4 linked regions of the Struthio camelus genome follow. The protein of the gene in region 4 purifies or fractionates together with the protein of the main gene of each other region. This does not show direct contact. Links are inferred from orthologs where the notes say so. Each region holds a gene or a part of one and is shown on either strand. Other genes may lie near its edges.

Region 1 (7,309 bases), on a different chromosome or scaffold from region 4:
AAAGGTTATCTAGAAAGAGATACCAGTGCAGCAGCTGAAGATACACGATAGACATAGGTGGAGAACTGATGACTTCAAGCAGATCTTAGAGAAGCACTAGCTGTCAAAGCTTTGTGTTAAATACAGTAGTACAGGCAAATGGCAGGTGCACAGGTGGGGAAAGAAGCACAAGTGAAAAGTCCCCATCAGAAATTCTGAAAATAATTCCCAGAGATAGTCCTCCCCTTTCTTTTTTCTGTGAATTCTTCTACTAGGAGAACTGTAACTGGGACAAAGTAAAAAGACACCTAAAGAAAAATAAGAATCTAAAAGACAGTTTTCAGAGTGTTCAGGAAGAAATCATGGCTATGATCAGTTTCAATGCTGAGGGGTGGAATCTAGCCACAAGATCACGTCTAGCTTTTATTTATGTTTTTTTCATAATAAAATGTCAAGAACTGTCAAGCTGATGAAGTTAAAATTATATTGTAATTTTCATGGATTTTTACACATTTTTAAATCTGTCACATTTTTATTTGGAACATTTTACCAAATAGTTTACTTTGTCACACCTCTCACAGAATAACAATTAGATTAATACTGGTTAGCTTTCTAACTATCTAAGTATCATGTCAACATTAGTTGCCTTGGTGAACCCTAACAAGAGTCATTTATATCTGATAACTGAATATTATCCTCATTACTGATTTACTACTTTAATGTCTCTTTCCTAAAGGGACATTAGCTCCATTCATTTTGTATCTGCTATTGCAGCATGTGCTCTCACATCACATTACATGGACATGAACATGAACATAGATTTTCATTGTCACATTATGTGCATCAGACCCATTACAATATCTGGAAACTGCAGAAAACAAACCATCCTTTTACTAAGACCACAAAACAAGTCAATACCAAAGCAGCCATTTATAGTAAAGAGCTCTCTTGTTCCTTTCTTGGATAGCTTCCTAGACTTTACAGTCTAGACACCTCCAGAAAACTTTACCCCAAGGGAAATGAGTTTGATGTAAAATGTATGAGCTGTTTGGGCCTGGCTGGGCAGTCACAATTACAGCCTGGAAGCGAACGACACATGGGACTGGCCTAGGTCGAGATGTCAGCTCCAAAACCAATCCTACCTACTTGGCAATGGCCAATGACAATAGTCTGCTTCTGGAAGGGCAGAAACCCTCTCCTCTATTACTCCATGTTAGTTGTCTAGTCGGACTGTTGTCTTGCCTAGCTGAGTCAGTTTACAAGTCCCTACAAAGTTCACTTGAGCAGACCAACAGACTTGTTTTTCTTACACTATAGTTCCACAAATACTTTCAACTAACAATGCTAGCAAATGGAGTGGTTTGGGGTTTAGGTTGCTCAAACTGATATCTGCCATTCTGATCAGACTGCATAGTTGCCACACAGTTTGAATCAAGCTTTTATATAGTCACAAACGCTTCTCAAAGACTTTACTGAATGTTACCTACGCACGCTCAAAGTCAATATCTGACCTACAGATGTTAAAGCATATAAAAGTAAGCTATTGAAAGAATAAGTTATAAACTTGTCAGTGCATTCTCAAATTTTAAGTGTTACACAGATCCTCTACATTTTAATGCTTATCCTAAGCGGGTATTTCTCAAGGTATTTCCATGGGGCTGTCATTGGGTAAGTCCTTTCCTAAAAAGACACTTCTCCTAAAAAGACATCCTGGTTTTAGGAGCCCCTGTACCTCAGATATAAATGGAGTTCTGCATAAAGAATGTCAGGAACATTACTAAGATCTGAAAAAAATTGGTAAACTGATCACCCATCTAACCACAACCAACAGGCAGGATATTGCAGTCATCAACCTGCCCTAATCCTTAATAGAATAGATGTAAAGTCCCAAAATAGCAAATGCATTTTGAAAGATAAAGAAAGTTAGTTTTCTAATTTGAGGACTTAATTCAAGGCACTGTTCCTCCTGCAACAGTAAGTATTAGCCAAAGTACTTCTTTTCCACAAGGGTCTGCTTATGTCAGGCTGTGTTAGACGCTCTGCACGTTCTCGATGTTCTACACAGCTCTGTATTTAGTTCTTGACAGACAGGTGAAGAAAGAAATATTTTTATTTTTTCTTAAAACGTGCTTGACACACATGGAAGTAAATCCTTCAGGTTCTACCCCTGCAACAAAGCAACTTTATTTGCAACCAAGACAACTCATATAAATAAGACAAATACTTGGTAATCTATATTCTGCTGTACCTTTCGATGATTTAGATTAAGGTAGATGTAAACACACTTCAATGCCAAAAGTTAATTTGTTAATTTAAAAGTTAAATAAGGATGTATTAAAAGCACTGAAAAAGACATTCTGATTTGTTTCAAGATTTTACTGACTACTTCATTGAAGTCCAAAATTCTCGCCCTAAAGACCAAAGATCAGATTACAGATCAGCTGTTCAGTGGCTGAACTGGAGCGTTTGAAGGCTCTCAATTAAATTCTCAGCTGAAGGTCTGTGGATTTCAAGAAGCTGATGGATTATAGCCTGTTCTTAAAAAGGAACCAATTCATTTTTAGAAAGCTGTGCCAAAAAACAGATCCCGAAACATCAAGCGTGCTGCCCTCCAATGAATTTCCATGTTTGGCTCAGCCTGCTCTTTCTAACCCGAAACATGCAAAATACAAGTATAATCTGTTGTAACTGATGCTCACTTAGTGAACTGCTGCGTGTACATCCACAAGAGGACAAGCTATAGTTCAGGGAAAGAACAAGAAAACACGATGCTTCATACACAGGCAAGACTTGAACTCTGTGTAACTTTTAGCAACGTTAGAGAGCTTTGTTATTTATACTAATGATGTTGTAACTGGTTTCTAAAATGATTGAGTCAATGAACAGTAAAGAAAAAAGCTATAACTATTCTAAACATTAATCTGTTTGGATATTAACGTTACATATTTAGTAACTGCAACAATATATTTGTATAAAAGGGTTTTCAGTAGAAACCTATGAAAAGTATGTGTCAAAGCTTTGATTTCTTAAAATATGATCTGTGAAAAGTCGGCCTCCACCACCACCTTATAAAGAAATAAGCAGCAAAACAGTCCCACTTAGTCAAGAGAATGGTAACAGGTGATTTGATCACAGTTTGCCATTCTGTAGTACAGGACGTTTCAGATCTTTAGTAGAAGAAGTATCTCTTTAATTTAGTACAAAAAGACAAAACTTATCCCAAGCTGCATAATCTAATTTAGAAATATATCTGTTTTTAACAGTGTGGACAAACATCAACTCACTTTGAGGCCGGAGGATTCTGTCGCTTAGTTAGAAAGTGCTATCATTTGACAGGATAAACTAAATCTCCAGTAACATAGAAATTTGAGCCACAAGAGGAGGTGTTCATAGTTTATGGATATTGAGTAGGGATTTATACTGTGTAAGTACCCTTGATAAAAGAGTTATATCACTGTAGCGATAACATCAAACTCAGTTCTGTTTAAGATAAACAAGGGAGAGGCAAATCAAGAAAGGCACTGCATAAAACACTCAGAAGTTTCAGCAGCTAAACGTTGAGTTTCAGGAGGCTAATTTCCGCTCAAGATTAGCCGGAGGTTGGGGAGGGGAAGGTCGGTAATTTTTTCGGGGTATAAACACACTCCCTAAAAAGACCTGCCCCGATACGCCGGTGCTTCCTCAGACCTCCCTGGCGGTGGGCTGGGGGGCTCACGGGATGGCGGCCACGCCCGACCGCGGGAAGGCAGTTGGGCACGCGCAGCCCGCGGCGGTTGGGCGCGCGCGCGGCCCCGGCGTCCGGCAGCGCAGCGCAGCGAGCGCACGGCGAGGCGCAGGGAGCGCGCCGCGCCGCCCGCCGGGGAGGGCGGAGGAGTGCCGCCATCTCGTTAACGGAGGGAGCCCCGGGGCTGCGGCAGCGAGGGGCGAGCAGCGCCCCAGCCCAGCCCGAGGAGGTGCGTCTGGCCGCGGCCCCCCGCGCCGCCCCCGTTACCTGTTCCGACGGAAACACTCCTCGCGCAGGGCCGGCAGCCTCGCCTGAAGCCTGGCCAAGGTGGCCATGCTTCCCTCCGCCTCCCTCACGACGCCGCCACCATGGCAACGGGGCCGTACCACTCCGCGCGGGCGCGGGGGTGGCCGTTCCTCCCGCCGTCCCGCCGGCAGAGCAAGGAGGGCGCAGGCGGCAGCGGGAACCGCGCGGAGCAGGGCTGCGGGCGGCAGCGGGGCCGCGGCGGCAGGCGGGCCGGGGCGCGCCGCCCGCGGGCAGCGGGCCGGAGCGGGAGGGGAGAAGGCGCGATGGTGGCGCCCGGTTTCCTGCCGGTGCCGCAGCTGCTTCCGGGCTCTCATCATGGGGGAGTGAGGAGCAGCCCCGGCCGCCCGCAGCCTCCCCGCCCGGCCCTCGCCCGCCAGCCTCAGCCGCGGCGCCCCTCGCCCCGTCTCCGCTTGCCCCAGTCTCTGCGAAGCGGCGCCAGCCTCCCCGGGGAGCGGCCGGGGGAGGCGCCGGGTTCATGTTCCGGGTGGCTGAGCCTAACCCGACCCGAGCTCAGGCGGCGAGAAAGAGCTGGTGAGGCCGGGCCGGGCCGGAGGCGGCGGGGCGAGAGCGGGGCCGCCCGCGGGGAGGGGGGGGGGTGTCTCTGCCGCAGGGCGCGGGGGAAGGGACGGTGTCTGGGGCGGGGGGTGGGGGGGGAGCCCGCTGCCTCTGAGGGAGCTCATCTCCGTGCCAGGTGCGAGGCTTAAAAACTTGCGGACAAGTGTTTCCCCCGGCCCTCACAGCACCCCGGCGGGCAGCGGGTGGCCTGGCCTGCCCCGGCCCGCGCGGTGCTTATCTCTCCGCCAAAGGCCTCGGGGGAGGAGGGCTGCGAGGCCTGGCAAGTGCCACTTGCACGTCTCGAAGGTTCCCTTGTGCCTATAAGCGAGCAGTGGGGTGGGAGAAGAAACCTATCCTGTTTGCAGAAAAACAAAAACTCATCACAAACGTAGTTATTAATTTTTTTAATTGTTGACCCTGAAGGGCTACATCCTTTGTGATGTATGCTGCAGAAACAGGCAGTAAGGTGCAGTTGTTTTTCTGAAGTTACTATATTTTGTCTGAAACAAGAATCAACAAGTGTGGTTATAACCTGTGAGCAAGAAACATATACATAGTTCTAGTACAGTGTAATTTACTGTTTTATGTAATTCCAGATATTAGCATAATGATTCTAAATAGCGTATTATTTTTCTTATGGGATTGAGGAAAGGAGAAATCGAGCAACTGAAAGAGGAAAGATGGGAGGAATGCATATGCACAGAAGAGGGAAAAGCAAGTTTTGTTAGCAGGCCATAGAGATGGAGGTAGAAAGACTGGTAGCGGAGCGATTGTTGATGAAAGCAAGATGGCCTAAGCAGGCAACAGGGAAGCCTTCCGTTTTCTTCATGAAATGTTAAGTGTCTTGTGGCTTCCAAATGTAAACAGTATGTTAACTTTCTTAAAAGAAGCTGATAGTTTGGAAAACTTCAGGTCACTGTGTAAAATATTGAGAATGTTTCATATGAAATAGAAGAGAAATATCACAAAATATTATCCTTCTAAGTAGTGATAAAAAGAATGCTGTGTTTTATTTTGTTTTTCCCCATTATATGCCTCCAAAGATTAAAAACAGTGAAACTTCTCAAAATTACGTATCTTATTGTTAGTGTAAACCTCAAATCATTCTTGTGAAAAGCTTTCTCAGTTAAAACTGGTCCTGAGATTATTCTATGTATATTATGAAAGCTTGCGTTAGTTGAAGTGTTGTGTATTCCAATTGATAACTTCTAGTGAATTTCATTTTTATTAATGGTTACGGGGAGGCTTTTTTATGTTAATGGTAAAAGTTATAGCCGTAACTGCTGAGCAAGAAGTCTGAGATCTCATTGTATTATGTATACAGGCACTTGCAGGTGGGAACCCGGATCTTAAATCTGCTTTCCTCTTCTGTGGATGAAGAAGAAGAGGGAGGAGGAAAAGCTTAGCGTTCAGCTTTCTTAAATAGTAAACTCCTTTCCTTCCCCACTTGTACTACTACCACCACTTCTTTTTCCTGTGGGTGTTTTCATGGCTTTCTTACATTTTTGTTAATTAAAGAGCCTTCTTAGAAGAGTTGTATTTCCCAACATGCAATATATGTTTTAGAAAAAGTTTGATAGTTTTGCTAGGCATGTGAATTTGCCTTGCATAAATATAACTTTACTTTTGCTGGTATAGTTCATAGCACTTTCAGAGAATGATGTATGCTGTACTGGCAGAAGTCTTTTATCTCAGTACTAGTGTGCATGCAGTAAGAACACCACTGCCTAAGACATGCCTAAGGTATATCTGTACTCTGAGACTCAAAGTTTTCATTGTAGACCTGACCTGTCATTTGTCTTTAAATTTTATTGTTTTGTGCTCACGTAAAATAATTTAGTTCCAGTGGTTTTAAAAACTTTTCAGCAACACAAAAGATGGAAACTTGATGTTTTTCTCTATCTGTCATCAGATATTAATGGTTTTGTTTGTCCAAATACGCAGCCCAGAGGAATTCAGTACAGAGAAAATAACTGAAATCTTATTATCTATTGGAATATTAGTTTAACAGCTATGAAGGTCTGTTAAATCTCTGACTACTCATTGGAGCCGCTGTCTTTTCTTGTCCTTATACAGGAGTTATTTCAGAAGCTGTCCTTTAAGAGAGATCCTTTTGAGAGAAATGTGGTATTAAAGAAACAAAGGAAAATATTCTTTCAAGGTGTAATGCTTGATTTAGAAACTCAAGGATTTTAGCTCCCTAAAAACATTAAGACCGTAAAGAAGTTGGTAGATTCTGATCTTCCGCAGAATGAAATTTTTTATTTTGGGTGTTAAAGCTCCTCTGAAGCTGAATGTTTTTCCTTTATGAGTACATATGACAACTTAGAAATAGATTGCATTTTGGATACGTCCTGAGCACGCTGATTCTTCTGATAATGACTTTGATGCTGCCATCATTTGACAGTTCATGTGATTCTCCACCTTGACAATTAATTAATGAAGTTGACTTCTGAAAAGGGCAAGCATATCAGTAAATGGCAGCAATGGGATTGTAAGAATTGCCACCTCTCATGATAAATGGCTCCAAATCTCATTTCTGGCTGACCAATTCATTTGCATTAGAGCCTTGTTAAATGCAGTTCATGTCAGCATCTTTCTGACTGTGTATGTTGCTCTGTACTGATGTGGGTTTTTTTCCTCTGCTAAATATTACTGGAGAATGTTGTTTGAAATTTTGAATTGGATATACTGTATTGTTGTGCTTTCTTAGATAGTCAGCAATTTTAGAAAAGTCAGATGTAC
Region 2 (7,165 bases), on a different chromosome or scaffold from region 4:
GGGTCATGCAACAACCCCTTCGCTCTTCCTGTCCTATCAGGCCGTACCTTTCTCTGTACTCACTGGAGAATGAGCTGGGCAAAGACACAGTAATGACTTGGCTAGTAGGATCCAGTGGAGCTTCTTCCCCTGCTCACCCTGGAAATGTCCCTAACAAGTAGCATCCCCTCTCCCCTGTCCAGTTCCAGCAACAGTTCAGCTAAAGGGGGTAGGTGCTGGCAACCTCAGCAATGCTGCCTCCAGCAGGAAAAAAAAACGGTATGTACAAAGGTCAGTAAAGGGTAACAATCCAGTCAGGGTAAGAGTGCTGAACATTTGGTATCCCCAGAGCACTTCACAAGCAAAATCAGCGCTGAGAAGATGGGTCAGCTCCTGTTGTCCGCACAGGGAAACTGAGCTACGCAGAGAGATTAAATGAAGCTGAACACAGACAAGGACTGAAAACTTACAGTCACAGCCCCACTTCAGAAGTGACCTTGTAAGACAGGACAGAAATAGCACGAGCTGCCCAAAAAACAGATGACCCCCAACTGCCTCTATTGTATTTCTCCATTTTCTATTCCCGATTGTTTGATTTTCCCCTGTACACATAAACGCTCTGCTTCTGCACCCTTTTAGTTCTTATGTCCCTTCCAAATTGCCAAAGCAGCTTCTAGTACCATCATTCCTCTGTCTGAAAATCAACCCCTTGTCCCAATCTGCTTTCTTTACTCAGGCAAAACACTGCTGACGTCTGTTGAAATTTGGTTTGAAAGAGTGAACATGGTAAAAATTGGCCAGATTAAGTAAAATTTATACCAGTTGCAAAACAGTTTGTTGACCAACAGAACAGTGAATTATTTGTGGAAAATTACTAGTGGTGAATTATTTGGAAAAAAAGAATGAAAAACAAGAGAAATTAGAGTGGGTTGCTGTCTCCCCAGGACATATGAACATAGGAAGTCTTTTACACAATTGTTTATCTAATTTGTTATCCTACCTAGAACTGTAGCCAGTATGAAGTGCTTGACATAAAGGTATAAGAAGCTCTGAGGTAGATGTTTACAGAATAACCTTCCCATCAGGGAAGTTTCTCTCTAAATGAGACATTTTGTAGCTGTTTTATATCCTGAAGCATGAAAAAGGATTGCAGCAGGAAAACAAGATTGGATTTTTGAAGGGATTGGCTCTCAGATCTGAGAGCAAAAAGAAACCACCTATTTTGGAAATAGGAACCTGACAGGGAAAACAAAATACTACAGTCTAGCAGAGTGAGCTACTGCCATAGAAAGGGTCAAAAAGACAAAAGGAAGAAAATTTACAGATGAATCAGTGCAGTCAAAGTAACTTAACTGAAGGCAGCAACTGGGGATGGGATAAAAATGATCCACCTAATGACTGGTTTTTTTAATATTACTTTTCTAAGTTAGTTTCTCAGAGAACTAAAAAGTAATGAAAACATTAAAGTGACAGCTCAAAACGAAATATAGGACTACTTAGAGAAACTGCATGTAGAGAACTCAGTGAAGCTATATGATGATTGTCCTATATGGGTATAGGAAGCAACTACAAATTCAAGGACTTTCTTATGGCTATTTTTGACACATCATGACAAACTAGGGAGGGTGCCAGAGGACTAAGGAAAAGCAAGTGCGGTACGAGTCTTGGGGGTGGGAGTGGAGGGAGCAGGGAGGAGGTAGTGATCTTGGCAATTATCACCCTTTCTGAATAACTTCTGTTTCTGGTGACATAATGGAATAAACAGCGGTGGGAAAAATGTAAAAATGCAAAGGATAATAGATCTATGAGCAATACGGAACAGTGTAGATTTACAAAGAACAAATCATGTCAGACAAACCTGATTACTTTCTCTGATTGAATTTACAAAATTAGTGGATGAAGAGAATGCCATGAACATAATATATCTGGACTCCAGCAAAGCATGTGTTACGCTGCCTCATAAAATGTAACTTGAAAAATGAACCAATATTGGCTTGAATATGAATGCTGCCACATGGATTTAAAAAAAAATGAAATACAAGAAACAGAAGGGAATGCTAAGCAAAACTGGACTGTGGGGTCATGCTTGGCTCTACTCTGATGACTGCTGGTGATCTGTAAAATGGGAGAGATTACAGGAATATGCTATAACAGTAAAAATGAGAGAGTTACAAATCTTAAGAAGGACAAGGGAGTAATACAAAGAGGTTTATCTTAGGAAATAACAAAACTATGTTTTGATATACACAGTAGAAACGTGAGCAGTGAAACGGAGGAGTGCTGGTGTCTCGTTTACTACTTGCCTACATCTTATAATTAAAAACAAAACAAAACAATATCAAGCAATAAAAGAGTAAGCAGATGGCAAGAGCTGTGAACACACAGCTTCTATTAGCAGCTAATGATCTGTAGAGACATGACCTGGGACTCCAACAATAGGACCTAGGAAAGCACAAATCTTCAGAAAATCAATAAGAAACATCAGGCCTTCAATGGTGGAGATGTTACTTTCATTCGAAAGCAGGCCAGAGGTCAGATAAGCTAGTCACTGATATTTCCATAAATAAGAACTTCATGAACCAACCTGTGGTGACTGATAATATACACCCACTAAATCAAGGAACACCTCAAGATTAGAGACAGAGCCAGGCACCAGGAGGTAGAGGCCGATTACTGCCTAGCTGCAGAAAAGACCTTACACACACAGCCACATTTCTGCTGACAACTTCTAAAGGTCAGGCCAGGACATGGAGCAGTCACCGAGATGAAATATTAGAATAAGTATTTGCTCCTCATCTAGGAAAAGCCACGGCCATCGTTTCACATGATACTACAACCACGCTGCTTGACAGCTCTACATCCAGACATAGCAGGTACCCTGTACATGGGAGTGGCTGGGCACTATCCGTGGCAGGGGTATGCCGTAAAGCTGAGGCTGTTTGGCCCAGCTGTAGACCCAGCCTTGCCCCCATCTGCTCTGCCCCTCTGATGGGCTCACCGCACTGTTTTTGCGACCACATAGTGAACCAGGCCAGGGAACTGATCTGGCTGAAAAGGACCATGCTTCTACAGGGTTTTTCTTTCTTTCTTTTGTTTTTTTTTTTTTTTCTCTGCTTTTCCAGTTCCCTGAGCTGGTTCATCATGCAGCTGGAGAAGCTCTTCCAGCTGCACAAGGATTGGCACTGGTTGCAGGAATGAAGAGAAACTGGGAGAGAGGGGTGCCTAAATGTATCTCCCGCCATTTTACATGACACGAGGTACTCCACTTGGCCTCCAGATGCTGCTCCAGAAAGATGCAGGTCTCCCATAGGTCCTGCCATATCTGCCTGCTCTAAGAAAGGATGTCTTGGGTACCCTCTAAAACGGTGCTGCGTTTAGGCACCTGATTTCCACTCCCGTTGAACATTAGACCATCCTTGACCTGGTTCATCACGGAGTCTAAGCCCAGGTGACTAGTGAGTGATGCAAGCCACTTACTACCCAGAACCGTCAGATGCAGGTTCCCTCTACAGTCCCTGTTTGGGTCTTCCGAGTTGCCTTTGGTGCAGTCTGCGCACTGGCTGTGCAGGAAGCCAGGATCCCACCAGTGCAGTTTGAATTGCTCTTCAGACGAGGCCGAGGCCCTGACCGCTACCTGAGTGTGGCCCGTTCCCTCTACTGTGGCATTCCTGCTGCAAAGAGGGAGGGAAATCATTTGACTAAGTGCTCTGATGCTCTTTGGAAAAAGACTCAAGCGATGAAGTTTAAGAAAGATTAGGCTGAATATGACAAAGCGCTTGTACGGATGAGACCTATCTGAGAACGTCACATCTGTCCGCAGTGGCCTGGTGGCGGTCACTGCTCAGGAGAAGGAAGCCCCCGAGATGCACCACTGCTGCAGAAGTACAGAGCGGTTCCCCCGGTGCGTTCATGACCGAGCTTCCCAAGGCAGGAGACGGGGCCGCGCAGGTGAGGCCCTAAACCCTGCCCCCGGCAGACGCCTCCCGCCAGCCACCCCGGAGCGCCGCCACGGGCAGCGGCCGACTGCGGCGGCGGCTCTGCCGGCGCCGCCTCACGGCGCGGCCCCTGCGGCCGCGGCCAGCACCAAACCCCGCGGCCGGGCCCGCACCCAGCCGCGGGGACGCCGCCGCCGCGGTAACGGCCGAGCCCGGCGCGGCCCCGCCCTCCGCGGGGCGGGAGCGGCGGAAGTCGCGCGGCGAGGCCGGAAGTGCCGCCGCGAAGGGCTGGCGCAGCGGCGGGGCGGCCGCGGGCAGGTGAGTGGCGGCGGGCGGCCGGGCCCCGGGCGGGCGGCGGCGGCGGCTGGGGCGGCGGCGGCGGGGGGGCTGGCCGGCCGGCCGCGGCCCCGCGGAGGGCGGAGGGCCGGGTCAAGCCCGGCGCGGGGGCGCGGGGCCGGCGCGGGGCCTGGCGGGCCGCGTCACGTCACGTCACGGTGCCGGCTGGGCGGCGGGACGCTCGCTTGCAGCATCGCCTTAGCCGGTGCCCCGGCTGCCGGCGGTGGGCGCCGGCGCGTTGCAGGCCGGCCCGCAGCGCCGTGTGAGGGCTGGGGGATGCCGGCCGCTGCGCTGGGAAGCAGCGGCTCCTCCCGGGAGGAGAGCGGCGTCTGGGTCCCGGACCTTCCTCAGGCTGAGAGAGCGAGGGCTGCTGTGGAGCAGGGGGTCCAGAAGTTAAGCGGAGAAGCCTTAAATTGCGGGAGAAATCGCACATGTGCAACACATAAACGGGGAGATGACAGTTATTGTGAGATGGGGAATTCGGGCAGGACTTTATGTTGGGCTCACTAAGAGTTCTGAGGCGGAGCGCGTTGGCTGTTTTGCCAGGAGGATTTGGGGGTTGGTCTTACATCTTTTGAGCTCTGTGTTTCTTAGAATAGACTTTCAAGTATCTTATTTTGCTATTTAATTGATACTGACTCACAAACTACCTGTTTTACATTCCATTTTACTCTGAGTTTTAGTGCCTTTGGAAGTCTTCAGTCTGTTTGCTGAGCAGACTAACCCTTCTGTGTGGCTTATAGCAACTAACATAATTAGATCGGGTAGCAAACTAGCTGTAGGCTCTCATACTCTTAAGATGTAATACAGTTTGTTGCTTTGAAGCAAAAGATGCGATCTTAAGGCCTTTTCAGGCACAGAGCACTTGGGTAAAATGTTGCAGTGGCGACACCTCTGCTGCTGTGGTTAGAAGGGGGATTTAACTCTGATGGAAGGAAGGAGCAAGCAATAGCCCAAGAAATGGCAGTTGTCCCGCATTACTTCTCGCAGGCAACTCCAAAGTAAGGGTGTACTTTGGTTCATGTCACAAAGGCTATAGCGTGCTGTAGTTTAGTGATGCGTTGGTAGCAGCATTCATGTCTGGTGCTAATTGTTCATTGTCATTTTTAGTAGACATTGCCAATGGATGAGCTGGTGCACGACTTGGCCTCGGCCTTAGAGCAGACTTCAGAACAAAACAAGCTGGATGAACTATGGGAAGAGATGGCCCTAAGCCCGCGGCAGCAGCGGCGTCAGCTTCGCAAGAGACGGGGTCGTAAGCGGCGCTCGGACTTCACACATCAGGCAGAGCATGCCTGCTGCTACAGTGAGGCCTCAGAGTCAAGCTTGGATGAAGCAATGAAGGATTGCCGTGAGGTGCTGACAGCCAACTTCAGTGACTCTGATGACGTGGCAGTGGTCAAACGACACCCAGCTCTCAGTGCCACCTTGAGGAGCAAGCAGCACTCGTGGCACGAGTCGGACTCCTTCACAGAGAACGCACCGTGTCGACCGCTTCGGCGCCGCCGGAAGGTGAAACGTGTGACCTCAGAGGTGGCTGCCAGTCTCCAGCAAAAGCTGAGGGTGTCAGAGTGGAACTATGAGAGGGGCTGCAGGTTCAAGTCAGCCAAGAAACAGCGTCTTTCACGCTGGAAGGAAAATGCCCCTTGGACATCATCTGGTCATGGCCTTTGTGAATCAGGAGAAAACAGGCCCTTCCTCAGCAAAGGGGGAAGGAAAGAGCAGATGGAATGTGAAGCTGATGAACAGAAACAGGGCTCAGATGAAAACATGTCCGAATGGTGAGAACTCACTTTCTTCCCTGTACTCAAGTCGGATGGCTACTTTGCTTGTAGCTGCTTGCAATCCTGTGCCTTATTCTAAAAGCTCTTATCAAAATTGTTCAGTGCTGTTCTCTTTCTGAAGAGGGGAAATCCCTCAGCTCCTTCTATGCTGTAGTTTTTTTTCCAGCGGTCTTTCCTGTCAGTGCAGTACTGATGACCCAAAACATACATTCTTTCAAGAATTGGCAAGCTGATCTGTCTCTGACCCCTGTTATACAAGCAGCCCTCTGAAAAGTCTGTGGCTCTGCTGCTACAAAGTGACAGGCTTGTGACCTGACCTTTGGCAAGTAAATATGCAGCTGGCAGTTGTGTTGTGTGATCAATTTGAACTGATCTCAGTTTCTTGTTTTCAGAGTTTACCCATAATAGTAATAGAGAACAGGTCAGATCCGCCATCATGACTGCTAGCCCTCTGTGCAAGTACTGTATGAACCTCAATCAAAACATTTTGTTTGCAGTTCTGAATCTCTGCTCTGAATCTGGAATACTGCAAGGCTAGTCCTGCAAGGCTAGCTACAGGGAGGGTGTAGTGAGAGGATAAAGAAGTTGGGAGAAATTGACTTACAGTATAGGTCTGCACACACAGGGGGATCTTGCATGTCTTTGTATTCAGGCTTTGACGAATTTGTGGCAGAATCTCATACAAGAGATGAAAACTGGAAATGCAGATGCCATGGTCTAAACTCGTTTGTATATCACTCTTGAGAAGTTTCCCTCTCGAGTGTGATCTTTATCCTCTCTATAGTAGGTTTGGGGCTATAAAACCACTTCTGTAAGAAGAGATTTTTCAGGCTAGAAAAGAAACAACTGCTGAGGGGCAAATGGAAAAGGTTTCTTAATGAGTGGCCTGCAGAAAGCAAATAGGGATGTTCTGTGCATAGTTACTGTGAGTAGTTATCATGTAAGAAATGGGAGATATTCAGGAAACATTTAAAACAAGAAGTGTTTTATTTTTCATAAAGCACAAATTTTGGAACTCTGCCATGGGGCGTTTTGGAGGACTAAAATGTGCCCAAAAGGGGGATGTGGAGGACAGATTTATCAGAGACTGTTAGGCGTTACAGATCAAATAGAAGAACTGGCTCAGGAAGT
Region 3 (7,711 bases), on a different chromosome or scaffold from region 4:
CTGGCGTCCCTTCCCGATGCTCCTGCATCCCTTCCCGGTGCTCCTGCATCCCTTCCCTGCATCCCGGCGTCCCTTCCTGCATCCCGGCGTCCCTTCCTGCATCCCGGCGTCCCTTCCCGGTGCTCCTGCATCCCTTCCCTGCATCCCGGCATCCCTTCCTGCATCCTGGCGTCCCTTCCCGATGCTCCTGCATCCCTTCCCGGTGCTCCTGCATCCCTTCCCTGCATCCCGGCGTCCCTTCCCTGCATCCCGGCGTCCCTTCCCTGCATCCCGGCGTCCCTTCCTGCATCCCGGCGTCCCTTCCCGGTGCTCCTGCATCCCTTCCCTGCATCCCGGCGTCCCTTCCCGGTGCTCCTGCATCCCTTCTCTGCATCCCGGCGTCCCTTCTCTGCATCCCGGCGTCCCTTTCTGCATCCCACTGTCCCTTCCCGGTGCTCCTGCATCCCTTCCCGGTGCTCCTGCATCCCTTCCTGGTGCTCCTGCATCCCTTCCCTGCATCCCGGCGTCCCTTCCTGCATCCCGGCGTCCCTTCCCTGCATCCCAGCGTCCCTTCCCGATGCTCCTGCATCCCTTCCTGGTGCTCCTGCATCCCTTCTCTGCATCCCGGCGTCCCTTCTCTGCATCCCGGCGTCCCTTTCTGCATCCCACTGTCCCTTCCTGGTGCTCCTGCATCCCTTCCTGGTGCTCCTGCATCCCTTCCCTGCATCCCGGCGTCCCTTCCTGCATCCCGGCGTCCCTTCCCTGCATCCCAGCGTCCCTTCTTGCATCCTGACATCCCTTTCTGCTTCCCGACATCCCTTTCCTGTGCTCCTGCATCGCTTCCCTGCATCCCAGCGCGCCTTCCCGGTGCTTCTGCATCCCTTCCCAGTGCTCCTGCATCCCTTCCCGGTGCTCCTGCCTCCCGGCGTCCCTTCCTGCATCCCAGTATCCCTTCTTTGCATCCCAGTGTCCCTTCCCAGCGGTTCTGCATCCCTTCCCTGCATCCCACCATCACTTTCTGCATCCCAACATCCCTTCCCGGCGCTCCTGCATCCCTTCCTGGCACTACTGCGTCCCTTCCTGCATCCCACCATCCCTTTCCTCATCCCGGCGTCCCTTCCCGGCGCTCCTGCATCCCTTCCTGCATCCTGATGTCCCTTTCTGCTTCCCGACATCCCTTCCTCATGCTCCTGCATCCCTTCCTCGTGCTCCTGCATCCCTTCCCGGCACTCCTGCATCCCTTCCCGGTGCGTCCTGACGTCCTTTCCTGCATCCCAGCGTGCCTTCCCGGCGCTGCTGCATCCTGACATCCCTTTCCTGCATCCCGGTGTCCCTTCCCCGCACCCCAGTGTCCCTTCCCCGCACTCCGGCGTCCCTTCCCGCTGGCTTTCTGCCACCCCCCTGCCCGACGCCCCCCGGGACGATCGTCTCCTCCCCGACTGCCCGGGGCGTCCTGACCTCCTCCACCCCTCGCCTGCCCGCTCCCCCCAGGGCCGGACGCGGCCGGCGGGGCGAAGCTCTTCGAGGAAGAGGAGTCGCTGCTGTCGCTGCCCACCTCCCGGGAGGGCGACTCGCCGCAGCCGCCGGCCCCGGGGCTGCCGCCGGAGCAGCCGCACCTCCGCGAGTGGCCCAAGGTGAGACGCCGCCGGAGAGGGGGCAACGGCGCGCGGCCCGTTTTCCGCCCCCTCCTGCTCCATGCTAACCGCCGCCCTCCCGTCCGCTGCCCCGTCCGCGCAGGACCGGGCTCTCATCCACCGCATCGACCTGGTGTGCCAGGCCGTGCTGTCGGGCAAGTGGCCGGCGGCCCAACGCGGCCCCGAGCCCGCCGGCGGCGGCCAGGGGGACGGCGGGACCCGGCTGGCGGGTGACTACGCGGCCGCCCAGGAGGAGCCGCCGGCCCCTTACACCCGCCTGCGGCACAGCCCCGAGGAGAAGGAGTTCACGGTGCAGATCAAAGACGTGAGTAGCCGCCGGAGGGTCTCCTCCGCCCTGGGATGTCCCCCGTGAGCGTGGAAGGACGTCCTCCACGATCATGGAGAGGTGGCCATGCACAATCGTGGAAGGACGTCTTCCACGATGGTGGAGAGGTGTCCTCCACAGTCGTGCAAAGACGTCCTCCACGATGGTGGAGAGATGTCCTCCTTGGTGGTGGAAGGACGTCCTCCACGATCATGGAGAGGTGGCCATGCACAATCGTGGAAGGACGTCCTCCACGATGGTGGAGAGATGTCCTCCTTGGCACTGGAAGGACGTCCTCCACGATGGTGGAGAGATGTCCTCCTTGGCGGTGGAAGGACGTCCTCCACGATCACGGAGAGGCGTCCTCCTTGGCGGTGGAAGGACGTCCTCCGTAACGCCGCCGCCATCTCCCCGCGCCGCCCCAGGAGGAAGGCATCAAGCTGACGTTTCAGAAACACCGGCTGGTGCCCAATGGCGCCCTGCGGGACCGCTACCAGCACTTGCACCCGCCCGGCCACAAGAAGAACAGCAAGAAGCTGGTGGAGGTGAGCGGGACGAGGCAGCGCGGTCCCTCGCGGCCGGTCCCCCTTGCTTTTCGGGAGCCGCCTCTCTGACGGCGGTCTCTTGTGCCCAGCTGGAGCTGCAGTGCCTGGAGGGGCTGCGGGGCCCCGACATCGACCTGGAGGCCCGCATCCCCGTGGTGCACAAGGCCGACGGCACGCTGCTGGTGGGCGACGCGGCCCCCCGCCGCGCCGACCTGGAGAGCTGGCTGCAGGCTCACCCCGACTTCGCCGTGGACCCCCGTTTCCTGGCGGTGAGCGTCGTCCTCTGGGGGCAGGCAGCCCGTTTTCCGGCCTCCGCCGAGCCGCTTTCTCACCTTTCCCAAATTTCTCTTCCCCAGTACATGGAGGATCGGCGCAAGCAGCACAAGTGGCACCGCTGCAAAAAACCAGGCGCCGTGGAGGCCGGCTGCCTGCCCGGGCTGGAGCGAGGGACGGTGCCCGGCGAAGCCAACAGCAAGAAGGTGAGGTAGCCCCCCAGGACGACGTCCTCCCTGCCCACCTCCCCGCGTGGTCATCTGGGGAGCTGGACATCCCTCTGGGGCCGTTTGGGGTTTCCATCTCCACCAAGTCCCCAAATATGCGGGTGGGTGGGTGGGAAGGGGGAAGCTCTGTGTCGTGGAGGACATCCCTCCACGCTCACGGGGGAGATCTCTCCACTGTCGTGGAGGACATCCTTCTATGACCATGGGGGAGATCCCTCCACTGTCGTGGAGGACATACTTCCATGATTGTGGAGGACATCTCTCCACCATTATGGAGGACATCTCTCCACCATTATGGAGGACATCCTTCCACTGATGTGGAGGACATACTTCCATGATTGTGGAGGACATCCCTCCACCATTATGGAGGACATCCCTCCACCATCGTGGAGCACATCCTTCCATGATCATGGGGGACATCCCTCCACCATTATGGAGGCCATCCCTCCATGACCACGGAGGACAACTCTCCACTGTTGTGGAGGACATCCCTCCTACTGGCCAAACCAGACGGTATTTCACTGTCGCCCCTCGCCAGGGCTTCCTGCCGGACCCCGTGATGAGCCGGCTGCTGCCGGAGGGCAGCCCCAAGGCGCGGGGCCGGCGGGCCGGCGTGGACCTCTCCAAGATGGTGTCGCTGATGGGGCCGGCGGGGCCGGGTTTGCTGGGGGGGCTGCACGGCCCTTTCGCCCCCGGCCCGGCTCCCGCCTCCTCCGCCCTGCCCTACGCCGCCTCGTCCTCGGCCGCCCTGCTGCACCCCGCCGCCTTCGCCCTGGGCCCTCCGCGCCACGACGAGGAGGAGGAGGAGGACGAGGAGGAGGAGGAGGACGACGACGACGACGAGGAGGAGGAGGACGAGATGGACGACTTGTCTCAGGGCTATGCCAGCTCCGAGCGGGATTTCTCCCTGCTCGACGACCCCATGATGCCGGCCAACTCGGACTCCAGCGACGGGGCCAACGAGGCCGAGTGAGCGCCCTCTCCCCCTGCCCTCCCTCCCCGCGCCCCCCCTCCCCGAAAAAAAGACTCGTCTCCTCTCGCCCCCACCTCTACCCCCCCCCAAAACCGCGCCGCGGGCGCTATATTTATATAAATATGTAAAATGTCTTGTGTCATACGGCGGGGAGAGGGGGGTTTGGGGGGGGTTGGGGGGGGCACGGGCGGAGGGGGGGGTCGGTGATGGCGGCGGCTGAGGGGGAGGGCGGCGGTTGGGGGAGGAGGGGGGTGGGTTGGTTTGAGGGCCAGGCTTTTGGGGTAGAAGCTTCCCCGTAGTTGGAGTCTTTTTCTTTTTCTAATAAAAAGGGATAAAAACGGGCTGGAAAAGGCTTTTTTTTTTTTTAATTTGTTTTTTGCTTGGGGGAAGGGAAGGGGATGGATGAGGGCGGCCGCCGGGGGGGGGGGGGGGTCGCCCGTCGCCCTCTGAGGAGAAGGGGCGTCGGGCGACGCTGCGAGGTTTCCCGCCCTCGCCTACGCGCATGCGCGGCGCCCGGCCCCGCCCCCTCCTCGCCGCTTTTCCCGCCCTCGCGCATGCGCGACGCCCGGCCCCGCCCCGTCCTCGCCACTTTTCCCGCCCTCGCGCATGCGCAGCGCGCGCCCCCGCCCCCTTGCCCCCTCCGCGCGCGGCTCCTGGGAGGGAGGGGGCGGGGGGAAACGCCGCGCGTGCGCATGCGCCCAAGGAGGGAGGGGCGGGGCGAAGGGGGGTCGCGGCACCGGAAGCGGAAGCGCGCGCGCGCTCGCTCCCGTCGTCCTGGTGGTGGCGGCGGCGGCGACGGCGGAGGCGGCGGGGGGCGAAGCTCTTCCGGGGTGAAGGGCGGGAGGCGGCGGCACCGGCACCGGCACCGGCACCGGCACCGGCGGCCTCCAGCCCGGCCGACGAGCCCGAGCCGCCCCCATGGCGCTGAGCCTGGACCGCGAGGCCTACTACCGCCGCGTCAAGCGTCTCTATGGCAACTGGCAGGTGCCGCCCCCGCGCCGGGGGTTTGGGGGGGGGTCACGGGGCCCGTGGGGGGGGGTCACATGGCCCGTGGGGGGGTCACGGGGCCCGGGGGAAGCGGGTCTGGGGGTTGGGGGGGGCGTTACCGGGCTGGGGGAGGGATTTGGGGCTATTTGGGGGGGGTGGGGGGGTCATTGGGCTCGGGGGGGAGGGACCGGGGGGGGGGAGCGGACCCGGGGGGTTGGGGGGGACCTTAGGGCTGTTTTACTGGGGGGAAGGGAGGAGAGTGACCAGACCTGGGGGTCTAGGGGAGGTTTTGGGGGTGTTGGGGGAGCATGGGGCTGTTTTGGGAGAGGGAAGGGGGGGACAGTGGCCAGACCTGGGGGTCTAGGGGGAGTTTTGGGGGTGTTGGGGGGCATGGGGCTGTTTTGGGAGGGGGAAGGGGGGAAAGTGGCCAGACCTGGGGGTCTAGGGGGAGTTTTGGGGGTGTTGGGGGAGTGGGGGCAGTTTTGGGAGCAGGAAGGGGGGAAAGTGACCAGACCTGGGGGTCTAGGGGGAGTTTTGGGGGTGTTGGGGGGCATGGGGCTGTTTTGGGAGGGGGAAGGGGGGAAAGTGGCCAGACCTGGGGGTCTAGGGGAGGTTTTGGGGGTGTTGGGGGAGCGTGGGGCTGTTTTGGGAGAGGGAAGGGGGGGACAGTGGCCAGACCTGGGGGTCTAGGGGGAGTTTTGGGGGTGTTGGGGGGCATGGGGCTGTTTTGGGAGGGGGAAGGGGGGAAAGTGGCCAGACCTGGGGGTCTAGGGGAGGTTTTGGGGGTGTTGGGGGAGTGGGGGCAGTTTTGGGAGCAGGAAGGGGGGAAAGTGACCAGACCTGGGGGTCTAGGGGGAGTTTTGGGGGTGTTGGGGGAGTGTGGGGCTGATTTGGGTGGGGGGAGAGGAATAGGGGAGGTGGAAGGGGGGAGTAACTGGATGTGGGAGTCTGGGGGGGATCTAGGGCTGTTGAGGGGCAGTGTGGGGCTGTTTTGGGAGGGGGAAGAGTAGGGGAGGTAGAAGGGGGGAGTAACTGGACCTGGGGGTCTGGGGGGGGGTTGGGGGTCTTAGGGGGGAGCCTGAGGCTGTTTTGGGGGGGTAGAGAGGTGGAAGGGCAGAACAATTGGGTCTGGGAGTTTGGGGGGGTCTGGGGTCGTTGAGGGGGGGAGCGTGGGGCTGTTTTGGGAGGGGGAAGGGGGGGAGTGACCAGACCTGGGGGTCGGGGGGGGTGGGGGTCTTAGAGGGGAGCGTGGGGCTGTTTTGGGGGGGTAGAGAGGTGGAAGGGCGGAACAGTTGCGTCTGGGAGTTTGGGGGGGGGGGCTGGGGCTGTTGGGGGGGGAATGTGGGGTTGTTTTGGGGGAGAGAGGAGTAGGGGAGGTGGAAGGGGGAGAGTAACTGGACCTAGGGGTCTGGGGGGGGGTCTGGGGTCGTTGGGGGGGAGTGTGGGGCTGTTTGGGGAGGGGAGGGGGGGAGTAACTGAATTTGGGGGTCTAGGCGGGTGGTCTAGGGTAGTTGGGGGGGAGCAGGGGGGTGTTTGGGGAGGGGAGGGGAGAGTAACTGGGTCTGGGGGGGATCTGGGGTGGTTGTGGGGGCAGCGTGGGGCTGTTTTGGAGATATGAGGGGTGGAAGGGGGCAGCGACTGGGTCTGGGGCTGTTTTGGGGGGGTATATAGGGCTGGGGGGGGTCAGAGAAGCGATTTGGGGAGGGGGTGGTGAAGGAGGTCTCCAGTGGGGGGCACATAACTAGGCCGGGGGGGGGAGTTGGTCTATTTGGGGGAGGTGTAGAGCCGGGATTGGGGGGGGGGGGGGCCACCGACGCACGCGCCCCCTCCTCTCCCGCCCCCCCCAAAATTTCCACCCCGCAGAGGGGGGAGGACGAGTACGCCAACGTCGACGCCATCGTGGTCTCGGTGGGGGTGGACGAGGAGATCGTCTACGCCAAGTCCACCGCCCTGCAGGTGAGCCGGGGAGCCAAGGGGGGGGGGTCCGGGGAGCCGGGGAGGGGTCCGGGGAGCTGGGGAGAGGGTCCCCCCCCGCCGCTGACTTCGCCCCCGGCAGACCTGGCTGTTCGGCTACGAGCTGACGGACACCATCATGGTGTTCTGCGAGGACAAGATCCTCTTCATGGCCAGCAAGAAGAAGGTGGAGTTCCTCAAGCAGGTGGCCAACAGCAAGGGCAACGAGAACGCCAACGGCCTGCCCACCATCACGCTGCTGGTGCGGGAGAAGGTGAGCCGGCGCCCCGTCTCCCTCCTCCCTCCCGCCCGCCTCACCCCTGACCTCCTCCTCCTCCTCTTCCTCCTCCTCCCGGCGCAGAACGAGAGCAACAAAGCCAACTTCGAGAAGATGATCGAGGCGCTCAAGGCCAGCAAGAACGGCAAGCGCATCGGCGTCTTCAGCAAGGATAAGTTCCCCGGGGAGTTCATGAAGAGCTGGAACGACTGCTTGAGCAAGGAGGGCTTCGAGAAGGCGAGTGGCGGCGGCGAGGACGGGAAGGGGGACGGGGAGGGGAACGGGGGAAACGCGCTCACGCCGCTGCCCGTCGCCCCGCAGGTGGACATCAGCGCCGTGGTGGCTTACACCATCGCCGTCAAGGAGGACGGGGAGCTGAACCTCATGCGCAAGGCGGCCGCCATCACCTCCGAGGTCTTCAACAAGTTCTTCAAGGAGCGGGTCATGGAGATCGTGGACGCCGACGAGGTCGGAGGAGGGAGAGGGGAGGAACCCGGGCTCGAGCCGGTTGGGGGGGATCCGAGGGAGACGCGGTTGG
Region 4 (6,852 bases):
GTGCGAGGGGCCGGGCGGCGGTTTCGGGGGGCCCCTGGCGGCATCGAGGCTGCCCTGGCGGCTCCGCTTGCGGCGGTGCTCCTCCGCGATGCGGTCGGCCCAGGCATCGTAGGGCTCCGGCTCCGGCGCGGCGAAGTCCTCTGCGCGGGGGGAGAGGGGAGGGCTGAGGCAGGCAGCCCCACGGCGCGGGGCTCTGTGGGGCAGGGAGCACCCCCCGGCAGCCCCGCTGCAGGCAAGGGGAGCTCCTTGGGGCGGCGAGAACGGAGATGGCGGCTTCCCGGCTGAGGGAGCGCGCGGGGTTGCCACGGGGCTGCCGAGGGGCAGGGCGTGGGGCTGCGTGCGGGCCCGCCGTGGGGCAGCCGTACCTCGGTAGCACTGGGGCTCGCCGCACTCGTCCTCCCACTCCTGCAGCAGCCGCTGGCGCCAGCCGCCGTCCGGGCTGGGGGGCTCCGGGGCGGCCTGGGGGCGGCCGGAGCAGCCGTGGGGCAGCCGTGGGGCAGCCGTGGGGCTCCCCCACCCCCCGACCCCCCGCCTTGTCCTGCCCCCCGGCACCTCCGGCTCCGGGCAGCGGCACCGCGGGGGCGCGGGGGGCTCCTGGTCGCCTGGGGACAAAGGGGAAAGGTCACCCGGACGCCTGGGTCCCCAGGGCCCGGGGGGAGGGGCCCCGGATGCCTGGGCCCTCCGGGGGGGAGGGGAGGGGCTCACCGCGGTGCCGCCGCCGGTGGGAGCCCATGGCGGCCCCGGGCGGAAGCGGCCCCGCAGGGGGCGGAAGTGGCGACAGGGGAGGGCGGAAGCGGCGGCGCTGGCGGGGGGGGGGGGCGGCGTGGAGGGACCCGCGCGGGGGTGACAGGGGCCAACGGGGCCCAAAGGGGGCAACGAGGGGACCAATGAGGGCACCAGTGGGGATCACCGGGGTGAACGAGGCTGCACGGCACGAATAGGGATCAATGGGGGAAGGGGAATCAGTGGGGATCAATGGGGCGAAGGGGGATCAATGAGGTGAAGGGGAATCAGTGGGGATCAATGGGGCAAATGGGGATCAATGGGGGAAGGGGAATCAGTGGGAATCAATGGGGCGAATGGGGATCAATGAGCTGAAGGGGAATCAACGGGGATCAACGACGTGAATGGGGATCGGTGGGGATTGATGCTGTGAATGGGAATCAGTAGAAACCAACGGAGCAAACAGCAATCAACGACATGAACGGGGATCGACGGGGACCGACAGCATGAATGGGGGTCGATAGGGACCGACAGCGTGAATGGGGATCGATGGGGACCAAAGCGCTGAATAGGGGCAGAAGCAGATCGAGGGTGCGAACGGGGACGAAAGACTCGCGCGGGATCAATGGGGACCAAAGCGGTCAGCAGGGATCAGTGACGCGAATGGGGGTCAAGGGCAGGAACGGGGTCCGTGGGGTTACGCCGCGCCCCGGCAGGTCGGACTCACCGGCGGCACCGCAGCGAGCGGCTCCAGAGTCCTGGGCAGCGCCAACCGCGTCGCCCAGCACGCGAAAGCTGGGTTTCCGCCCCGATTTTGCCGCCAGCGCGAGGGGGGCTGGGGCGAGCCCCGGCGGCCGGGGCCGCCGGCGCTCAGCGGCCCATGTAGGCGCGGAGGTCGCGCTCCCAGGCCCGGGCGGCGGCCTCCCGGCGCTGGGCCTGGCGCTTCCCCGCCGCCCCGGCCCGCTCGGCCCTCGGCTTCGGCGGCTCGGCCACGGCGGCGGCGTCGCGGGCCTCGAAGTGGGTGACGCGGGGCCGGAGGTCGCTGGGGCAGCCCAGGCCTCTGTGGTCGCGCTTGAGCAGGGTCTGGACGGGGAAGCGGCGCCCGTCGCCGGCGGGGCCCAGCCCGGCGCGGCCGTCCCAGCCGCCCTTGACGAGGAGCCGGAAGCCGACGTTGGTCTCGGGGATGTGGTAGCGGGCGGGCGGCGGGGGGTCGCCCCGGCTGAGGAGGTGGGCGGTGGAGCGCTCGTGCTGCGCCGCGCTCTCCTCGGCGTAGTGCGTCCCGCAGACGCCGCAGAAGCGCCGCTCCGCCGGGGCCGGCCTGCGGCGGGGAGAGGAGGCGTCAGGCAGGGCCGCGGGCGCCCGCTGCGCCCCGCCGCCGCCCGGGCACCGACTCACCGCGGCGCCTCCTCGGGCTCCGGCCGCCACTCGCGCAGCAGCCGCGCCAGCCCGCGGTGGCCAGCGTCCTCGGCCAGCCCGGCGGCGTCGCGGCCCCCGGCCTCGCGGAAACCCGTTCGGGCGGCCCCGCGGCGCAGCAGGTAGCGCACGGCGGCCGCTCGCCCCGCGCGGGCCGCGCACATCAGCGCCGTCCAGGCGAAGCCGTCCCGGTAGTTGACGTCGCAGCCCTCCTTCTCCAGCAGCCGCCGCAGGGTGCCCAGGTCGCCGTCCTGAGCCGCCTTCAGCAGCGCGTTGCCCCGGCGAGTGTCGGTGGGGCCCGACGGGGCCGCGGGGGGCTTGCGGCGGGCCCGGGGCGGCTCGGAGGGGGCCGGGGGCGGCTCGGCGGGCGGCACAGGCGGCTCGGAGGGGGTCGCAGGCGGCGCGGCGGGGGGCACAGGCGGCGCGGCGGGGCCGGCCCCGTCCTCCCCGGCCAGGAGGCTCTCGTAGAAGCGCCGGGCCTCGTCGCCGGCCTGGCTGCCGGGCTCGGCGGGGGCGGCCGGGCGCCGCTGGAGGTGTCCGTCCTTCCAGCAGTCGGTCTCGTCCCGGGCCCGGGTGAAGGCGATGAGCTGGGCCATGGCGGCGCCCGGCGGCGGCTCAGGGCTGAGGTGGGGGGAGAGGCCGGGTCAGGGCGGCAGTGGGGGAAGGGGGGGATGTGGGGCAGGGCCCTGGCAGGGGAACAGCCCTAGAGAAGGAGGGTTGGGGCTGGGGGGGGGGGGCAGGTGCCCAAGGAAGGTTCAGGCCTAGGGATGTGGGGCAGATCCTGGGGAGGGGGGAAGAGCCCTGGAGGGGGTCGGTGGGGCAGGTCCAGACTTGGGGGGGGGGTCGGTGGGGCAGGTCCAGACCCGGGGGGGGGGGTCGGTGGGGCAGGTCCAGACTTGGGAGGGGGGTCGGTGGGGCAGGTCCAGACCCCGGGGGGGGGTCGGTGGGGCAGGTCCAGACTTGGGGGGGGGTCGGTGGGGCAGGTCCAGACCCGGGGGGGGGTCGGTGGGGCAGGTCCAGACCCGGGGGGGGGTCGGTGGGGCAGGTCCAGACTTGGGGGGGGGTCGGTGGGGCAGGTCCAGACCCCGGGGGGGGTCGGTGGGGCAGGTCCAGACCCGGGGGGGGGTCGGTGGGGCAGGTCCAGACTTGGGGGGGGGTCGGTGGGGCAGGTCCAGACCCCGGGGGGGGTCGGTGGGGCAGGCCCAGACCCGGGGGGGGGGTCGGTGGGGCAGGTCCAGACTTGGGAGGGGGGTCGGTGGGGCAGGTCCAGACCCCGGGGGGGGGTCGGTGGGGCAGGTCCAGACTTGGGGGGGGGTCGGTGGGGCAGGTCCAGACCCCGGGGGGGGTCGGTGGGGCAGGCCCAGACCCGGGGGGGGGGTCGGTGGGGCAGGCCCAGACCCGGGGGGAGGGGGTCGGTGGGGCAGGCCCAGACCCGGGGGGAGGGGGTCGGTGGGGCAGGCCCCGGCCCTGGGGGGGTGATCCCGAGGCGGCAGCGGTGGGGCAGGTCCCCGCGGGCAGGCCGCACCCCTCCAGCCCCCCAACTCACCATAGAGACGGCGGAGCAGAGCGCCAGGGCGCCGCGCTCCGGCGCGCAGGCGCAGCCGCGGGGGAGGGGGGGCGCGCAGGCGCACCGCTACGGCGGGCGAGGCGGAGGGAGCGCGCGCATGCGCGTCGGCCACTGGCGGACCGCCACCCCCCCGCGCATGCGCGCGCCGCCCGGCGGCCGTTGTCGCGTCCCCCAGAAGCCCCCGCGCGGCGCCGCCGGGGCCGCGCTGGGCTGCAACGACGGCAGCGCGGGGCGGTGAGTGCGAGGCCCCGCCCCCCGCCCCGTGGCCATGGTAACGAGGGACCCCCCCCCTCGGGGGGGTTAAGGCCGCTCCCCCGCAGAAACACCCCTTTCCCCGGTAGTGGGATAAGCCACGCCCACTCTAGCGCAGGCCCCGCCTCCTCTCGCGGAGCCGGGGGGGGTATAACGGCCCCCTCGCGGTTGTAGTTCTCAGCCCCCCCCGCGCCATTCACCCCTATGGAGGAGGCGGTGCCGCGGGACTACAACTCCCGCCGTACCTCGCGCCGCCCCACGTGACCGGCCCCGGCCGCGGGTCGCGCAGCCGCACTCCCTCCGCCGCGTCACGTGGTGGGGGCGCCCTCCCACCCCACTCCCTTCCGCGCGGGGGCCGCCGGGAGCTGTAGGCGGGAGGCGGCTCGCGATTGGCCGGCGGAGGGGGGGGAGGCGGCTCCCGCGGCGGCGCGGACTCCAGTTCCCGGCGGCCCCCGCGGCGGCGCATGCGCGGGACGGCGCGGCGCAGGGCGGCCTTGCTGCGGGGAGGGTTGGCGCTGCGCGGCCCCTTGTTCGCCCCCTGAGAGCCGCGGTGAGGGGCCCGGACGCCTGGGCCCCCGGGGGGGCGGGGCCGAGGGGGGCCCGGACGTCTGGGTCCTGGGGGGCTGGGGTGAAGGGGAGCCCCTAAGTGAGGGAGGGCCGGGCCCCGGACACCTGGGCCCTTGAATGGGGGGGGGTGAAGGGGCCCCCGGACACCTGGGCCCTTGAGTGGGGGGGGGTGAAGGGGTCTCGGACGCCTGGGCCCTTGAGTGGGGGGGTGGTGAAGGGCCCCGGGACGCCTGGGCCCTTGAGTGGGGGGGGTGGTGAAGGGGTCTCGGACGCCTGGGCCCTTGAGTGGGGGGGGTGAAGGGCCCCGGGACGCCTGGGCCCTTGAGTGGGGGTGGTGAAGAGGTCTCGGATGCCTGGGCCCTTGAGTGGGGGGGGGGTGAAGGGGTCTCGGACGCCTGGGCCCTTGAGTGGGGGCGGTGAAGGGGTCTCGGACGCCTGGGCCCCTGGCGGGGGTCATCCCGGCCTCACCGCCCGCCTCCCCCAGACTCCGGGACCATGAGCAGCTCCGAGGAGGTTTCCTGGATCTCCTGGTTCTGCGGCCTCCGAGGCAACGAGTTCTTCTGCGAGGTGAGCGGGGGCCGCCCGGACGCCTGGGTCCCCTTGGGGGGGGGCCGGGGGGTGCCCGGACGCCTGGGTCCTCACGCCGCCTCTCCTGCCCCAGGTGGACGAGGACTACATCCAGGACAAGTTCAACCTGACGGGGCTCAATGAGCAGGTGCCGCACTATCGCCAGGCGCTCGACATGATCCTCGACCTGGAGCCAGGTGCTGGGGGGCTGCGGGGGGGCCCCGTGGGGCCCCTGGGGGGGCTGCGAGGGTCCCTACGGGGCTTGAGAGGGCCCGGAGCGGGGGTTGAGGGTCCTTGGTGGGTCCTAGGGGAGCTGCAGGGAGCTGGGGGGGTCCTTGGAGAGGTCATAGGGGGCTTGGGGGATCTCGGGGGGAGCTGGGGGGGGACCAGGGAGATGTGGGGGGGCACAGGGAGGTCCCGAGGGGGTCGGGGTTCTAGGGGAGTTAGGGGGGCTCCTGGGGCATTGGGGGGCCCTGGGGGGGCCGTGGAGGTCAAGAAGGGATCGCGAGGGGGTTCGGCGGTCCTGGGTTGGGCTCGGAGCCTTTGAGGGGTCTCGGGGGGGGTCGGCGCCCCCCGAGGGGGGCTGGCGGGGGGGGGGGGGGGGCCGGACGCCTGGGTCCCCGCTGACCCGCCCGCGCAGACGAGGAGCTGGAGGACAACCCCAACCAGAGCGACCTCATCGAGCAGGCGGCCGAGATGCTCTACGGCCTCATCCACGCGCGCTACATCCTCACCAACCGCGGCATCGCCCAGATGGTGGGTGCTGCGCCGCCCCGGGGCCGGGCGCCCCCCCCGCGCCCCCCTCACCGCCCCTCTCGCTCCCCCCCCCAGCTCGAGAAGTACCAGCAGGGCGACTTCGGCTACTGCCCCCGCGTCTACTGCGAGAACCAGCCCATGCTGCCCATCGGTAGGGGCGGGGCCCGGACGCCTGGGCCCTGGAGCGGGGGCCCGGACGCCTGGCTCGGCGGGTGCCGGGGAAGGGAGGGTGGGAGGCGCGGAGGGGCCCGGACGCCTGGGCCCCGCTGAGCCGGCCGCGCGCAGGTCTCTCGGACATCCCCGGGGAGGCGATGGTGAAGCTCTACTGCCCCAAGTGCATGGACGTCTACACGCCCAAGTCCTCCCGGCACCACCACACCGACGGCGCCTACTTCGGCACCGGCTTCCCCCACATGCTCTTCATGGTGCACCCCGAGTACCGGCCCAAGCGGCCCGCCAACCAGTTCGTGCCCAGGTGAGCCCCGGCCCCTTTTTCTCCGCAGCGTTCACTCTGGGGCCTACTGACAGCCCAGCGCTGTCCCGATGCTTTTTTTTCTTCTTCCAGGCTGTACGGTTTCAAGATCCACCCCATGGCGTACCAGCTGCAGCTCCAGGCCGCCAGCAACTTCAAGAGCCCCGTGAAAACCATCCGCTGAGCCCGCCGCCCCGGACACCTGGGTCCCTCCTCTCCCCCCGCAGCAAGGGGCCGCTGCTGCCTTGTTTTTCCTTTCTTTTTCCGTCGCGTTTTTTGGGTCTGGTCCCTCGGGGCAGGGCTGAGGCCCCTTCCCAGTCCTACGTACTGTTTAAATTAATCTGTTTTTGGTTGATTTTTCTCAGAGTTCAATTACAAAAAGAAAGAAGTTCAGAAAACCGGGCCACGAGCGAGGTGGTTTTTTGTTCCGCCTTCGCGAAAACCCGCCCAGTTGCTTGTTGTCGTGAGAGCGACCCCGAGGCGGCGGCGGGAGGGAGGGAGGGGTGGCTGCAGGCCCCGGCGCGCCCGGCCTGGA

What was found.
Region 1: the proteins of CSNK2B (region 4) and GPATCH2 purify together in Homo sapiens (co-immunoprecipitation; 3 studies listed by BioGRID and IntAct, with this or other methods). This does not show direct contact. The link is inferred for Struthio camelus from reciprocal best matches to the Homo sapiens genes CSNK2B and GPATCH2.
Region 2: the proteins of CSNK2B (region 4) and GPATCH2L purify together in Homo sapiens (co-immunoprecipitation; 3 studies listed by BioGRID and IntAct, with this or other methods). This does not show direct contact. The link is inferred for Struthio camelus from reciprocal best matches to the Homo sapiens genes CSNK2B and GPATCH2L.
Region 3: the proteins of CSNK2B (region 4) and SUPT16H fractionate together in Homo sapiens (co-fractionation; 4 studies listed by BioGRID and IntAct, with this or other methods). This does not show direct contact. The link is inferred for Struthio camelus from reciprocal best matches to the Homo sapiens genes CSNK2B and SUPT16H.

Annotation. Positions count from the first base shown.
Region 1 is NC_090944.1:116,592,382-116,599,690, reverse strand, and holds the start of GPATCH2 (G patch domain-containing protein 2), read left to right. Parts: upstream 1-4,306; 5' UTR 4,307-4,484; coding exon 4,485-4,540; intron 4,541-7,309. Other genes in the region: SPATA17 (spermatogenesis-associated protein 17), read right to left, coding at 3,971-4,038. UniProt on the Homo sapiens protein: Enhances the ATPase activity of DHX15 in vitro.
Region 2 is NC_090946.1:58,363,749-58,370,913, forward strand, and holds the start of GPATCH2L (G patch domain-containing protein 2-like), read left to right. Parts: upstream 1-4,148; 5' UTR 4,149-4,232; intron 4,233-5,360; 5' UTR 5,361-5,372; coding exon 5,373-6,031; intron 6,032-7,165.
Region 3 is NC_090970.1:44,848-52,558, reverse strand, and holds the start of SUPT16H (FACT complex subunit SPT16), read left to right. Parts: upstream 1-4,710; 5' UTR 4,711-4,874; coding exon 4,875-4,940; intron 4,941-6,806; coding exon 6,807-6,899; intron 6,900-6,999; coding exon 7,000-7,170; intron 7,171-7,257; coding exon 7,258-7,410; intron 7,411-7,494; coding exon 7,495-7,641; intron 7,642-7,711. Other genes in the region: CHD8 (chromodomain-helicase-DNA-binding protein 8), read left to right, coding at 1,471-1,613, 1,717-1,938, 2,364-2,483, 2,573-2,752, 2,840-2,962, 3,522-3,956. UniProt on the Homo sapiens protein: Component of the FACT complex, a general chromatin factor that acts to reorganize nucleosomes. The FACT complex is involved in multiple processes that require DNA as a template such as mRNA elongation, DNA replication and DNA repair.
Region 4 is NC_090977.1:8,398-15,249, reverse strand, and holds CSNK2B (casein kinase II subunit beta), read left to right. Parts: upstream 1-3,841; 5' UTR 3,842-3,937; intron 3,938-4,413; exon of another isoform or gene 4,414-4,505; intron 4,506-4,565; exon of another isoform or gene 4,566-4,807; intron 4,808-4,888; exon of another isoform or gene 4,889-5,006; 5' UTR 5,007-5,017; coding exon 5,018-5,089; intron 5,090-5,183; coding exon 5,184-5,286; intron 5,287-5,729; coding exon 5,730-5,845; intron 5,846-5,920; coding exon 5,921-5,996; intron 5,997-6,130; coding exon 6,131-6,320; intron 6,321-6,410; coding exon 6,411-6,501; 3' UTR 6,502-6,719; downstream 6,720-6,852. Other genes in the region: NFKBIL1 (NF-kappa-B inhibitor-like protein 1), read right to left, coding at 1-140, 366-602, 706-733; GPANK1 (G patch domain and ankyrin repeat-containing protein 1), read right to left, coding at 1,594-2,041, 2,119-2,732. UniProt on the Homo sapiens protein: Regulatory subunit of casein kinase II/CK2.